Linked DNA regions of Saccharomyces cerevisiae S288C. Changing the gene in region 3 together with the main gene of any one other region gives a genetic interaction. Each region holds a gene or a part of one and is shown on either strand. Other genes may lie near its edges.

The links.
Region 1: mutations in QDR3 (region 3) and TRA1 impair growth when combined (synthetic growth defect), as found in Saccharomyces cerevisiae (one study listed by BioGRID).
Region 2: mutations in QDR3 (region 3) and FUM1 together harm fitness more than expected from each alone (negative genetic interaction), as found in Saccharomyces cerevisiae (3 studies listed by BioGRID).

The regions. Positions count from the first base shown.
Region 1 is NC_001140.6:301,099-305,811, reverse strand, and holds the start of TRA1 (histone acetyltransferase TRA1), read right to left. Parts: upstream 3,052-4,713; coding exon 1-3,051. Other genes in the region: SFB3 (Sfb3p), read left to right, coding at 3,878-4,713. UniProt on the Saccharomyces cerevisiae protein: Essential scaffold subunit of the transcription coactivator SAGA complex. SAGA acts as a general cofactor required for essentially all RNA polymerase II transcription.
Region 2 is NC_001148.4:45,663-49,394, reverse strand, and holds FUM1 (fumarase FUM1), read right to left. Parts: upstream 2,060-3,732; coding exon 593-2,059; downstream 1-592. Other genes in the region: CUB1 (Cub1p), read right to left, coding at 1-92; YPL261C (uncharacterized protein), read left to right, coding at 91-399; KEL3 (Kel3p), read left to right, coding at 2,889-3,732. UniProt on the Saccharomyces cerevisiae protein: Catalyzes the reversible stereospecific interconversion of fumarate to L-malate.
Region 3 is NC_001134.8:321,376-325,824, forward strand, and holds QDR3 (Qdr3p), read right to left. Parts: upstream 2,571-4,449; coding exon 501-2,570; downstream 1-500. Other genes in the region: CST26 (putative acyltransferase), read right to left, coding at 1-234; TCM62 (Tcm62p), read right to left, coding at 2,966-4,449. UniProt on the Saccharomyces cerevisiae protein: Multidrug resistance transporter involved in resistance and adaptation to quinidine and to the herbicide barban (4-chloro-2-butynyl [3-chlorophenyl] carbamate).

The DNA.
Region 1 (4,713 bases), on a different chromosome or scaffold from region 3:
AGCACTCTTCCTGTAGTGAATATCACTTTTGTAGCTTTGCAATATATTCAAAGCGGACTGGATTCCTGGCGTTACAGAAAGCGGTACATCTTCCGGCATACCATTGATTTTGAAATCTGCTATCGCATCAATGTCTAGTTCCGTTTTTTCCGTGAGGTCCGTTGGTGGCTTTAAAAATTGACGATTTCTACCTCCTAATTTGCCCAGTATTCTGACTACGTTGTGGCTGATAGCATGATTAAATGGTTGAGGTTGCAGAAGGTTAAACAAGGCCTTCGAAACGTCATCGATTACCGGTTCGATTATAGGATCAAAATACTCGGCGGTCAAATTATCAATACATAATTCTAAGGTCCTTAAACCCTGCGAAACGAGATCAGGATATTGCTGTAATGCAAATACCAATGGTTTCATCAAAAATGGCAAATAAGGAGCAAGCACACTTAACCGAACTGGTACAGTGATGCATAATTCCACATAAAGTTCTCTCTCGTGGGGCAATCGTGCAGTAAGTATCATTTGGTTTAAAGATTGTAATAGCACCTGTAGTATGGGCTTAATCGATCTATATAAGTTTTCAAATCTGCCCCCACCTATACTTCTAAAAAGAGTTCTAATAAGATAAAAGTATACTAGAGGCTCTTCTGCTGTAGTTGAGTATTTCAGGGAGTTTAGAATTAGATCGTTTAAGTGTGGAAGAAGAACAACCTCATTGATATTGGGGAAAAGATTGACGGACATAAAGGACAATTTGAAAAGTCGTATTAGGACATTAGAAGTGTTAAAATCAACGTTTCCTAAATCTTTCAATTTCCCTTTCAAGAATCTTAAAAGGATGCCAGCAAAATTTGGGGAGGTTATTTCACTTGTTAAAAAGGATTGCGCGACATGTAGCAGCCCAGAATCCTCCAGCATTCTTTCATAGACAAATGGCAGTTCCTGTTCAATTATTTCATTAAAAGTGGCATTATCCATCTGCATAAACATAAATGCCAAATAGTCCATTAACTCACGAGCATCTTTGGTGGCTGAGACCGGTAGGCTGGGCATTGATATATCAAAATGTTTTTTTGTTGTTTCTGGAGATAATTTTTCATTATGATCTTTAAAAAATTTCAAACCAATAATACATTCGTGAAATAAATCCTTGAAAACAATGACTTCCTCATATGAAAAAACTCTAGAAACAGAAGCCCACAATTTAGGATTAGCAACCGTATATTCGTTAGGAGGTGGGTTAAAGACTTTTAAGTCATGAATTATTGTTTTTAAGAAAGACATTAAAGTTCTGTATAAGTAAAAAGCATCCTTGATGGGATCATTTGTTGGTGTGGGTAGTAATAATATAGGTGCGTAGTTTTTTATGTCAAACATTTCAACGTCATTCTTCACCACTTTGTCAGATTCTGTCATTTCAACATCGGGACTATCATTGATATCTTCTTTTTTAGGCTGTGGCATCAAATGGTCGTCATCGGATGGTTCCAGTACCTTCCTCATAAATTCCTCACTCTCTTTGTCATTATCCTGTATAGAGTTTTTGAGCTTTTCTGCTTTCTCCTTCTTATGCGTTTCGTATCTTCCATAGTACTTCATTATTGTATCGTACTGTCTGTTTAAGGTTTTAAATCTATTCATATATGAGTCAATGATTATCATTAACAATTTCTTTGCTCTAGGGGCCTCTTGTGGGTTCTCCTTTCCCAATTTTAATATTCTTTCAACTAAATTAAGCAGCAATTTTGCACTCATGATTTGTACAGTTAAGGCTAATGACTCATCCAATAGATATCCAGTGTAAATCTTTATTGTTTTTTCAATTTCACTTAGTTGTAATTCAGATCTTATATTATGAATGAAATCTGCCACAGTACTATAAGCCAGGGGCCTTAATGTTTCATGCATAGTAAAACCGTTACCAATAAGTATACGTTCGTCAAACAGATAGTCCAATTTGGGTAAAAAGAGCTTTTTGTAGTTTGTAGATAGAATGTGTCTAGTGGCATGCAAAAGTTCCTTCCTAGCAGATGATAGTTCAGAAGGGCAGTCTTGTAAAAGCCTTATGATTAAATCAGGAACAAAATTCACATAATCCTGCAAAAATTCAGGAGCGTATCCTCTAATGAATACGTAAGCCAAGAAAGACGTGGCCTTGATCTGGGCTAATATAAAATCACAGTAAGCCGGTCTGTTGATAATCTCCGTCGATATAGAAGTGAAATGTTCTCCCCGTGATTCCGCCTGTTCTCTCGCTTCCTGTTGTTGTTTAATTTGTATATTCAATAGATTCATAATAAGAGGAGTGAATTCCGGAAGCGAGGTGCTAGTCAACTGCTTGTAAGACGAATATAAAGTGACCATTGTAATAGGGCATTCAGAAAGGATTTTAAAGGAAAACATAGATGACCTCAACCCGTTTGATGAGGTAGAGTTTTCAAACCTTGGCTCCGTGGATGATTGTTTCGATGGAAAGTCCTTTTCTTCATCATTTTTGGAGAATTCATCGAGAAGTTCATCTGCCTGTGGTTCTTTTGGTGAATCCAAATCACCCTGTTCTGCTTTCCCGGCTTCATAAAACGTCTGGTTTATAAGGTTTGGTGTATTTTTATAAATCTGAATAATTATTCGTATGAAGGAGTCGAGTTTGTCCTGTAGTATTGATTTGAATGATTTGAAAAGTGTCGTCAGCACTTTCATACATAATATCCCATTTTCTTCGTTTTCCTTTGGTAGTACTGAAAGTAAAAACTCGAGCACTTCCATTGCGTAGGGTTGAAAGGTTTGGTTCATGAGACACCTGTTGAAAATATCAAGCATAGAGTTTCTCAACTTTTGTTCCGGTGAATGCGCATCATATGAAATAGGAACTTCCTTTAGCTGGTTTAGAAGTAAAGGTATCACAGCTTGTAAGAAAAAATGGTAATCCTCAGGAGAATTCAGTAATTCCATTATGTCGTACAATTCCGATAGAGTGGAATATCTCGATTGTAGAGTGGCATCATCATCGCGAAACCTACTGGCGAATTGCTCGATCTGCTCAGTGAGTGACATCGGCAAAATGCGGTATTCTTTGTAACTATGGAGATATCGTGTGATAGATCTTCTCTGAATTTAATCTTCTTTATGTAATTACGTGTGATACCTCCGATTTTGTTGGTGTTGTTTATTAGAATACAACTAAAAAAGGCTATTAAAGAAAAATGGTTCTTGAGCTTTTTTTTCAGTTTGACCTGGAAAACTGTCTGACCACGTGATCACTTACCAAATTAGGAAACACAAGATTCAAGGTGGTCTTTTGAACAATTGTTGGTTGAATTTGTAATTTGAGGGTACAATAAATGCAGACTGATTTGGTATTCGATACGTGCGTTAGCTATTTTCGTGCGTTTTGTTTGTTCCTATGATCTCAGCGGCGTCCAGATGCTAGTTGAAAAGGCATGAATTATGGCTTTGTCTTGAAATGCGCGTGTCCGTAAAATATTGTCTGGCAGAGTAGCGTACAATTCTTAGTTTTGGCTTTTTGATTCAAGTTGATCTTCAAATTTCACTTATTTGCGTTCTGGCGATCTATCTGAAGGAGTTGATTAGTGGCGGCTAAAAGTGATGCAGCTCGTCCTTCTGTTTGCCCTATTGAAGGTGAAGCCTTCCGTGCACAATGCGAAAAAAATGTTCTTTTTTTTCCTTCGTTTCGTCTCAACGTGGGAACGATCAAACTGGAAAAACCAAAGAGAAAAATGTTAGAAAATAAATAAATAAAAAAAACACGTACGCTGTAACAACTTAGGTCTGATTCAACCAAATCGGAGCTTGCAACTGAAGAAATTAGTAATTTTGAGGGTTACTAAGGAGGCCATTTGCAGAAGAATATTGGACCATCATGTCTCAGCAGAATATTTTGGCAGCTAGTGTTTCAGCGCTCTCTCTTGATGAATCTACTGTGCATACGGGCGGAGCATCTTCCAAAAAAAGTAGAAGACCTCACAGAGCATATCATAACTTTTCCTCGGGCACTGTTCCTACTTTGGGCAATTCACCCTACACTACACCCCAATTGAATCAGCAGGATGGTTTTCAACAACCTCAAGCCTTTACCCCTAAGCAATTTGGTGGCTTCAACAACGGTTCGGGTTCCGTTATGTCCACGCCTGTAATGGTGAGTCAAGAGCGATTCGGTGCGAGTGAGGCCTCCTCGCCATATGGTCAATCTATGCTTGATATGACAGCGCCTCAACCTACATCTCACATTGTTCCAACTCAAAGATTTGAAGATCAAGCTCAATATTTACAACGATCTTTCGAAACTTGTAGAGATTCTGTTCCGCCCTTGCCGACCACCCAGTTTTATTGTGTTGACCAAGGTTCATGTGATCCGCACTTGATGAGTTTATCCATGTACAACATCCCCGAAAGTGAACACTTGAGAGCCGCCACGAAGCTACCACTTGGATTAACCATCCAACCATTTTCCACTTTGACACCGAATGATGCAGAAGTTCCCACAATTCCATTACCAATGGATGGTACGCCTTTGCGTTGTAGACGTTGTCGTGCGTATGCTAATCCTAAATTTCAGTTCACTTATGATTCAAGTGTTATTTGTAATATTTGTAGAGTTAAGATGCAAGTTCCAGGTGAGCATTTTGCGCCCATGGGTCCCAATGGGCAACGAAGTGATTTGAACGAAAAATCAGAGTTATTGCACGGAACAGTCGA
Region 2 (3,732 bases), on a different chromosome or scaffold from region 3:
AAGGAGGATCTCACTTCAAGGAGGTAGTTTAATATGGATTCCTCTTCCTTAGGAACAATTTGAGGGTGTTGTTGTCCAGCGGATGCAAACATGCTCTTTTTAGACAGTTATTCTCTTCTAATACAATTTCAGCGTTTTAAAAATTGGGAAAGTCCTCGAAGATTTAGTAGTTCTTTTCCTTTGCTTTTGTTTGTTTTTAAACCGATATTTGCTGCTAAACTTCTTAAAGAGATTTGCTCTTCTGGTGTACTCTCTTATTCGTTATCATTTCTGAAAATTCCCCTTTCCGTGATGCGGGTAATACTAGGTCCCTTACCCGACGACAAGAAATTAAAAAATGACGCAAAATATTCATTTATGAACTATTTTATTATAACTTGTATAGGAATAATAATGTAGTGATGTAAATTTATGGGCCCCATTAAGCCATCAAAAATGGAATGTATGCCTATGCTCCTCTTCTGACATAACTGGCCAGAGGCGGGACCTTAGCGGAGGGACCATTGCTGAATCACAAATTCTCTCCACTTCCTTATTTTCCTTCATATAATAAGACATAAAAAACTTGTATATTATTAGGTATTTAGCTCGTTTATTTAGGACCTAGCATGTGTTCAGGAACAACCCATTCATCAAATTCCTTTTCAGTCAATACACCCAATTCCAATGCACTTTCCTTCAAGGTAATGCCCTTCTTATGAGCATTCTTGGCGACCTTGGAAGCGGCATCATAACCGATCTTAGGGTTCAAAGCGGTGACTAACATTAAAGATTTAGTCAACAACTCATGAATACGAGGCTCATTGGCTTTGATACCTTCAACACAGTGCACTCTAAATGAATATGCGGCATCAGTAATTAACCTGATCGAATTCAATAGATTGGCGATCATGACTGGCTTGAAGACATTTAACTCGAATTGACCTTGAGAGCCGGCAAACGTGATAGCTGCATTGTTACCCATGACTTGCACACACACTTGAGTCAATGCCTCGTTTTGGGTTGGGTTAACTTTACCAGGCATGATTGAGGAACCTGGTTCATTCTCTGGCAGCATTAGTTCATGGTAGCCGCAACGTGGCCCGGACCCTAAGTATCTTATATCTTGCGCTATTTTGAAAAGAGAACAAGCAAGGGTGTTTAGAGCACCGCTACATTCGACAATGGCGTCGTGAGCAGCCAAAGCCTCGAACTTATTAGGGGCGGTTTGAAACTTTAGTCCAGTTTCTTTGGAAATTTGCTCGGCTATCTTGACATCGAATCCGGGCTTGGTGTTCAACCCTGTACCAACGGCAGTACCACCTTGTGCCAGGAAACTCAATGTTTTCAAAGAATGTGCCACTCTTTGGATACCGTTCTCAACTTGTTGCACGTAACCGGAAAACTCTTGACCTAGTGTCAAAGGCGTGGCATCTTGCAAGTGTGTTCTACCGATCTTCACAATATGGTCAAATTCCTTGGATTTGGCTTCAAGGGCGTTCTTTAAATTGGTCAACTCAGGTATCAACTCGTTTTGAATTTGCAAACTGGCAGCGATATGCATGACAGTGGGGAAAGTATCATTGGATGATTGAGATTGGTTGCAATGATTGTTTGGATGGACTTGTTTAGATCCAATCTTGCCTCCTAGGATCTCAATGGCACGATTGGAAATAACTTCATTAGCATTCATGTTAGACTGGGTACCGGAACCCGTTTGGAAAACAACCAATGGAAAGTGGTCGTCTAGCTTACCAGAAGCCACTTCGTCAGCGGCCTGTTGAATAGCCTTGGAGATCTTGGGATCCAATCCCCCCAGAGACTCATTCACAATCGCGGCAGATTTCTTCAAAACACCAAATGCATGCACCAAAGGCAATGGCATTCTTTCACGAGCGCCACCAATCTTGAAGTTTTGAAAGGATCTTTGAGTTTGGGCACCCCAGTACTTATCAGCAGGCACGTGTATCTCACCAAATGCATCGGTTTCAGTTCTGAACGAGGAGTTCATTCTTCTTATATTAAGCTTATATGACGATTTTACGAAAGTCTTGCAACTACAATTGGTAAATCTCAACATGATTGTATCTCTTATCCGTTTAATAGTTAGACTTTATGGAATTTCTTGACGTGAGAAAAAAAACAGCTGCAGTACTAAAAGTCACGAATTTAAAAATGCAAAAAAATGACTGTATGTAATGGAGAAACGATATGAATATCCCAGAAGAAAGAGCTAGAGTCACTCCCCCGTGTGTTCGGTCCGGCCTCCTGTTGGATGCTTGTTTAACGTCTACAACAGTGATGAAGATTATATATAGCCTATAAGAAACGCAAAAAGGCTTTACAGGAAAGAGCCAATCATCGAACGCCCATTCCGGGAATCGGGGTAGTCATTCCGAGGATCGGCTCAGGGGAGGGGCCTGAAGCCTCTCCAATATGGTAGTGATAGCAAGAACTAGAGACATTTACTGCTAGCTTCCATAGCTCTCTAACCACAGGGTACGAATAATAACCATTATTAGGTACTGACATTATGATGTCGCCCGCGGCGATTCGGAAGGGTTTAAGGACACGTCTTAACAAATGGCATTACAGAATGGCTATAGGCGACTCACTACTATGTATTGACTATGTAGGAGATACCAAGCTTTGCTTTACGAGCCCTCTTTACTTTTTTTCTTGTATAGTTATAGTTAATGTAGTAGTCGCAATAACTGCGGTAGTAGTACTAACATCAGTAAAAGTAACGCTTGGTAGTTTTTCTGCCCGGTTTAACCATTGATTTGATGAAATTGTAGAAAACTGAAAAAAAAAAAAAAAATGAAAAAAAAAAATGATGAGCTTCTCGAAGAATACATTAACCACTTATAGGAAGGAGAAGAGATCTACTAGACTCGTAGAAGTGATTAATGGCAAAGAAGAATAAGAAGGATAAAGAGGCCAAAAAGGCACGTGCTGAACTGAAGAATCAGAAAAACCAAAAAAAGCAGGAGAAAAAGTTTCAGAAGAACAAGAATAAGTCTTTAAACGGCGAAGAAGATGATGAAAGTGATCAAGATCTCGATGAAATTCTCTCTAGCTTTAGCAAAAAGCAAATTGAATTAGAGCATGTAGACATCACTTCTGTGGAAAAACCCTCTTGTCGTACTCATCCGTTGATGTTTGCAAATCCGCAACACAATAAACATGAATTGTTCATTTTCGGTGGTGAATTTACAGATCCAGAAACCAAACTAACACATTTCTATAATGATTTGTATTCATACTCCATAAAGAACAACTCTTGGAAAAAATACGTTTCGCAAAATGCACCTTTGCCCAGATCCAGTGCCGCTGTCGCTGTGCATCCTTCCGGAATAGCACTGTTACACGGTGGTGAATTTTCGTCCCCAAAACAATCTAAATTCTACCACTATTCTGATACATGGCTGTTTGACTGCGTTGAAAGGAAATTCACTAAGTTGGAGTTTGGCGGTAGAGACTCTTCACCCAGCGCCAGATCAGGTCATAGAATTATTGCTTGGAAAAACTATTTCATATTATTTGGTGGATTTAGAGATTTGGGGAATGGTCAAACTTCTTACCTAAATGATTTGTGGTGTTTTGATATCTCAACCTACAAATGGACCAAATTGGAGACAAACAGCAAACCTGACGCTAGATCGGGTCATTGTTTCATTCCTACAGATAATTCTGCCATATTAATGGGTGGTTACTGTAAAATCATTGCCAAAAATAATAAAAATTTAATGA
Region 3 (4,449 bases):
GGTAATTCTCACTGCAGATGGTGCGACAACATGCAAAATGGATGATACCAAGACAATAAATAATCTTTTGGTTTTATTGAGACCAATTTGTTTCCTTATATCATTTCTACAGTAAAGAGTCTTATAGGTGAGTTGGAGAAACAAAAGAATAAGGCATCCCTGGAAGAAAATCAATAAGGAAATACCTGGGACGACGACTTTTCGAACTTTATGAGCTATTTTTTGATGCAGCATCAGCTTATTGACCTCGCTAGCAATCTCAATACCAGTGGACCTGATATATCCTTTTTTTTTGTTGGCTAGTGTTCATTAATGATCTTTCGCGTTTATATTTCTTTTTCTGATGAGTTTTTCGCCTCTTGAGATGTTGTTGAACATTATTTAATAATACTTTTAGCACAATAACGATTTACCATAAACTAAAGTAAACTATGTATGTGCCACCCTATGAAAAGTCTACAATGAAAATATTTACGCTTCCGTCTTATTAACCGATATGATTAATCAATTTTGTCGTACAATTTTTGTAAATCGTAGTTCTCTCTCCAGTAATCACCGTGCTTTTTCAGTATTATAAGTACACTGCTAGCACCCAAGACGATAAAGGCCAGCATTGTGAAAGCCCACCCAGTTCCCATACCGTTTAACATGGGTGTGGTGACAAAGACTGCGGTTGCAGCCAAGATTTGCCTTATTAAATTATTCAAAGCAACACCGGTGGCACCCTTTCCCGGCAATGAATCGACTAAATAGGAAAGGGTAGCACCAATTGTCATCATAGCTGCATATCCAAAGAGGGCTGTTCCAATTAGTGGCGTTACCCAGTGGCATTTTTTATCTAGGCACCAGCCAAATATCAATAGCGCAATGGGGAAAGATATTACAGATGTAACAACATTCCACGATATACGAGCTTCAGGAGCAAGAATTCCATATTTCTCTTTGTATCTTTTTAAAAGCATGTCCACCCAACGTCCACCGTAAATTGAGGCGAAAAAGTATGTTACAGAATTCGGAATATACAGTAGACCAATGTATAATGGTTTAAAGTTGTAAGGAGGCCTTGAATATTTATATTCAACTGTCATATTAACAAAGTATACTGTGGAAAAGGAAATTGCGGAAAATGTTATTGCAAGTGCCACGGGTGGATATTCTAGGAAGTGCAATGATTTTAAAGGCTTGATAAAATAAACAAAAAAGGTGTCCCAGACCTTCCTCACCGCTGATACCTGTTTAGGAGCGATTTCACCTCCATTACTGGATAGCACTTTTTTGACTTGCTCTTCCAGGTTGGTTTGTAATTTTCTCAGACTATTTTCTCGAATCGATCTCGCTAACTTTGGATCTGTTGATCTTATTCTCGTAACTTGTGCTGTTGTTGCATCGATACCGCTATCATCTAGCTGATATTCATACAGACTTCTACTCGCCTCTGTATAAATCCGTTGCAATTGGGTTTCTCCAGCTCGACCATCATAAGTATTGGGGCTAGAGTGACTTTCTAAATCTAGCGAGTCTTGATCCCTTACCTCTCCAACGTAGTTATGCTTCTCAGTAGATAATGTGGCAACTTGGTTTTCAATTCGATCTGTCTCATCTTCTCCCCTCTGATAATCTTCTTGTATCTCTCCACGTTCGTTATTGTCTACTTGAATACGTCTTTCAGCCAAAATTTGAGCGATAGCGCCTTTAGAATCTTGTTTTCTTAATGTTTCAGGTAGTAACACCGTCAAAAGAATGACATTACATCCGGATAAAATAACCATAAACCATTGAGTGGATCTCCAGGGCCAGCGATTCACTAACAAAGATCCAAAAATTGGAGATAGTAGCGGCGCCAGTAGTGGACCCAAATAGTAATAACTCAAATTTTTACCTCTATCTTCGCTAATATATAAATCAGCCACTGTTCCAGCACCTACACTTTGAACACTGGCAGAAGCAGCCCCACAGAGCATTCTCAAGGCAATAAATGAGTTGATATCAGGAGCTAGAGCAGACCCGATATTAAATGCAAACAATAATGCAAATGAAGTTATGTAAGTAGTTCTTCTGCCCTCTAGCTCGGATAGAGAAGACCACCACAATGGGAAAACACCAAGACTTAAAAGGTACACACCAATTGAAACGTTTACCATAATCACTGATGTTTTAAATTCTGTTGTGATTGAGTTGATCGCTGGAAAAATGATAGATGTGCCCATGGGGCCCATCATGGAGGAAAACGCAATCAAGAAGACAATCATCTTTTTCATCATCGGTGGATAATCTCTGGCATCCTTGAACTCCGGTATAATGGCGAGTTGAGGCAATAGTCCCCTACGTTGATTCTTTGGAACAACGTATTCCTCACTCTTCAACCTACTTAGCTGGTTGTCTCTGTGTTCACGACTATTTGATGCCGTACTTTCCAGATTGGTCTTTTCGTAACTATAATCGTTGTGCTCGCTGTGCGGGCTGCCGCTGCTTTCATCGCAGTGCATCATAACATGATTGTTCGGTAGTGAATTGTCAGAGCAATTACTCCTCAAAGACCCTACATTCGATTGTGAACCTTGGGCTTGCATGTTTATCGCTTTCTGACTTCGGTCCTAGCATAGACGTTAACAAGTTAGAAAGATGTGAATACATATGCCTTCAACCCTGTTTTCTTTTAAGGATACAAGGACACAGCTATTACAACAAATTTTGTTGGTTTCTATCTTATCTAATCGATAATCTTTTAATATTTTAATCTAATCGCAGTTATCCAAAACTGGAATGAGATGGTTCAAATCCCCAAAGGTAGATGGAGTTACTGCTGAGGCGTGGAAAAACCCGAGTTTTTCCGAAGCCGCATATGAGAAATTGAGCAGGAATAATAGATATTTACGAAGAGGTAAAAGTGATAAAAGGCAGCGCCGTGGCAATATCTATTTACAATGACTCATTCTGACTATTTAAAAGTATGTAAGGGCTTTATCTAGGCTTTGTGCCGTTCAGGCTTTTTGTATACACATGTGATAATTGTATTACAGCTTGTAAGTAATTCAATGAACGTTTCTACACCGGCTAAACAAGAATCCATTTTGCTCCATGGCTCCAAGTTTCCATCCTTTACTGTGTTCACCGGTTCTGAATTTGGAGAAAACTTGGCCATTGGAAACGATTTTTCGTTTATAGCGCCTGCTATCAGGCTATTGATCTCATAATAGTTGTACCCATATGCATTCTTAAACGCCACTTCTGATGGGAGAATAACTGCTGATAAAACAGCATTGATGCCTACCTTAGTCATGAAATTGGGTTCATTTGCTTTCAGTTCATTCAAACCTGGAATTGCCTTCAGTAGGGAGATGCCGTAACCTGGGATGAAACCTTTGGCCAGCCCATGACATAGGACGTTATTTAAGCAATTATCTATTGCATTTCTTCTTCTGTCGATTTCGATTTCGTTATGTCCACCAATGCTTAAAGTGACCGTATTTTGGAGGAAGGATTTCGGAACTTTATTTGGAATCGCTTCAGCATCAATGGAGTTATATAAGAATGCCTCCCCTGTGGTCGCTTTTATGGATTCGATACTGCCGTAATATTTATCCGCACACATTTTGCTTGGCACTAAAGGACTATATTCTGGTGAGTAGATGCTGTCATATCCGCAAGGCAACCGTAAGAACTTTATAAAATCAAGATTCTCCTGTGGCGCTAAGTCATTGTTCGCCTTTTTAGAGTACTTCAAAACCACTATTCGGCTTTCATTATTTTCTCTCTTGTTTCTGTTATTGTTAATTGTAACGGATGTTAATGCATCACCTGTGCAATCTCCGTTAACGATTAAGAGAACAGATTTTCTCAACTTTCTTGCATACGTTATCGTGGGTAGAATTTTATTAGCGTCTCGTAACGTCCCATCATACATAAGAACTAGCATATCTTTATCAATGGAAACTAATTTCTTAGTAGGCAACTCCAGGGACCTTAAATAGGCTTCATTACTATCTAAAATACCAGCTGGATATTTCCAACCCTTGGATACATCAACCTCATCGTAAGTTTTGTTGCCGTTTATGACCCGCACAATGTCATCCGAAAACAATTCATAATTAATGGCTTTCAAAACCCTTTTGATGCTTTGGCTGTCTGAGGAGGACATAGTCAATTGCTCGACCAGAGCATCAACATCGTTTTGACTTTTCACTATAATCTTGTTCTTCGCAAGAAAATCTCTGATATATCGTAATCCGGCCTTGATCCCATTGGTCACTTCTTTTTCGGGATACTTGAAATAGTGCTCCAGTAAAGAGCATGTCAAAGATGTTGAAGTTGCTGTTAAGTTGTCCTGAATGCAATCCATGAATAATTGTAGACCAACCCTCCCCAGCTTTCGAGGCCTGTTTGATTGAAGTCGTGTGTTGGTAGCTTCATCTACTTGTAGGGAATCTAGTAACTCACGCATTACATTGT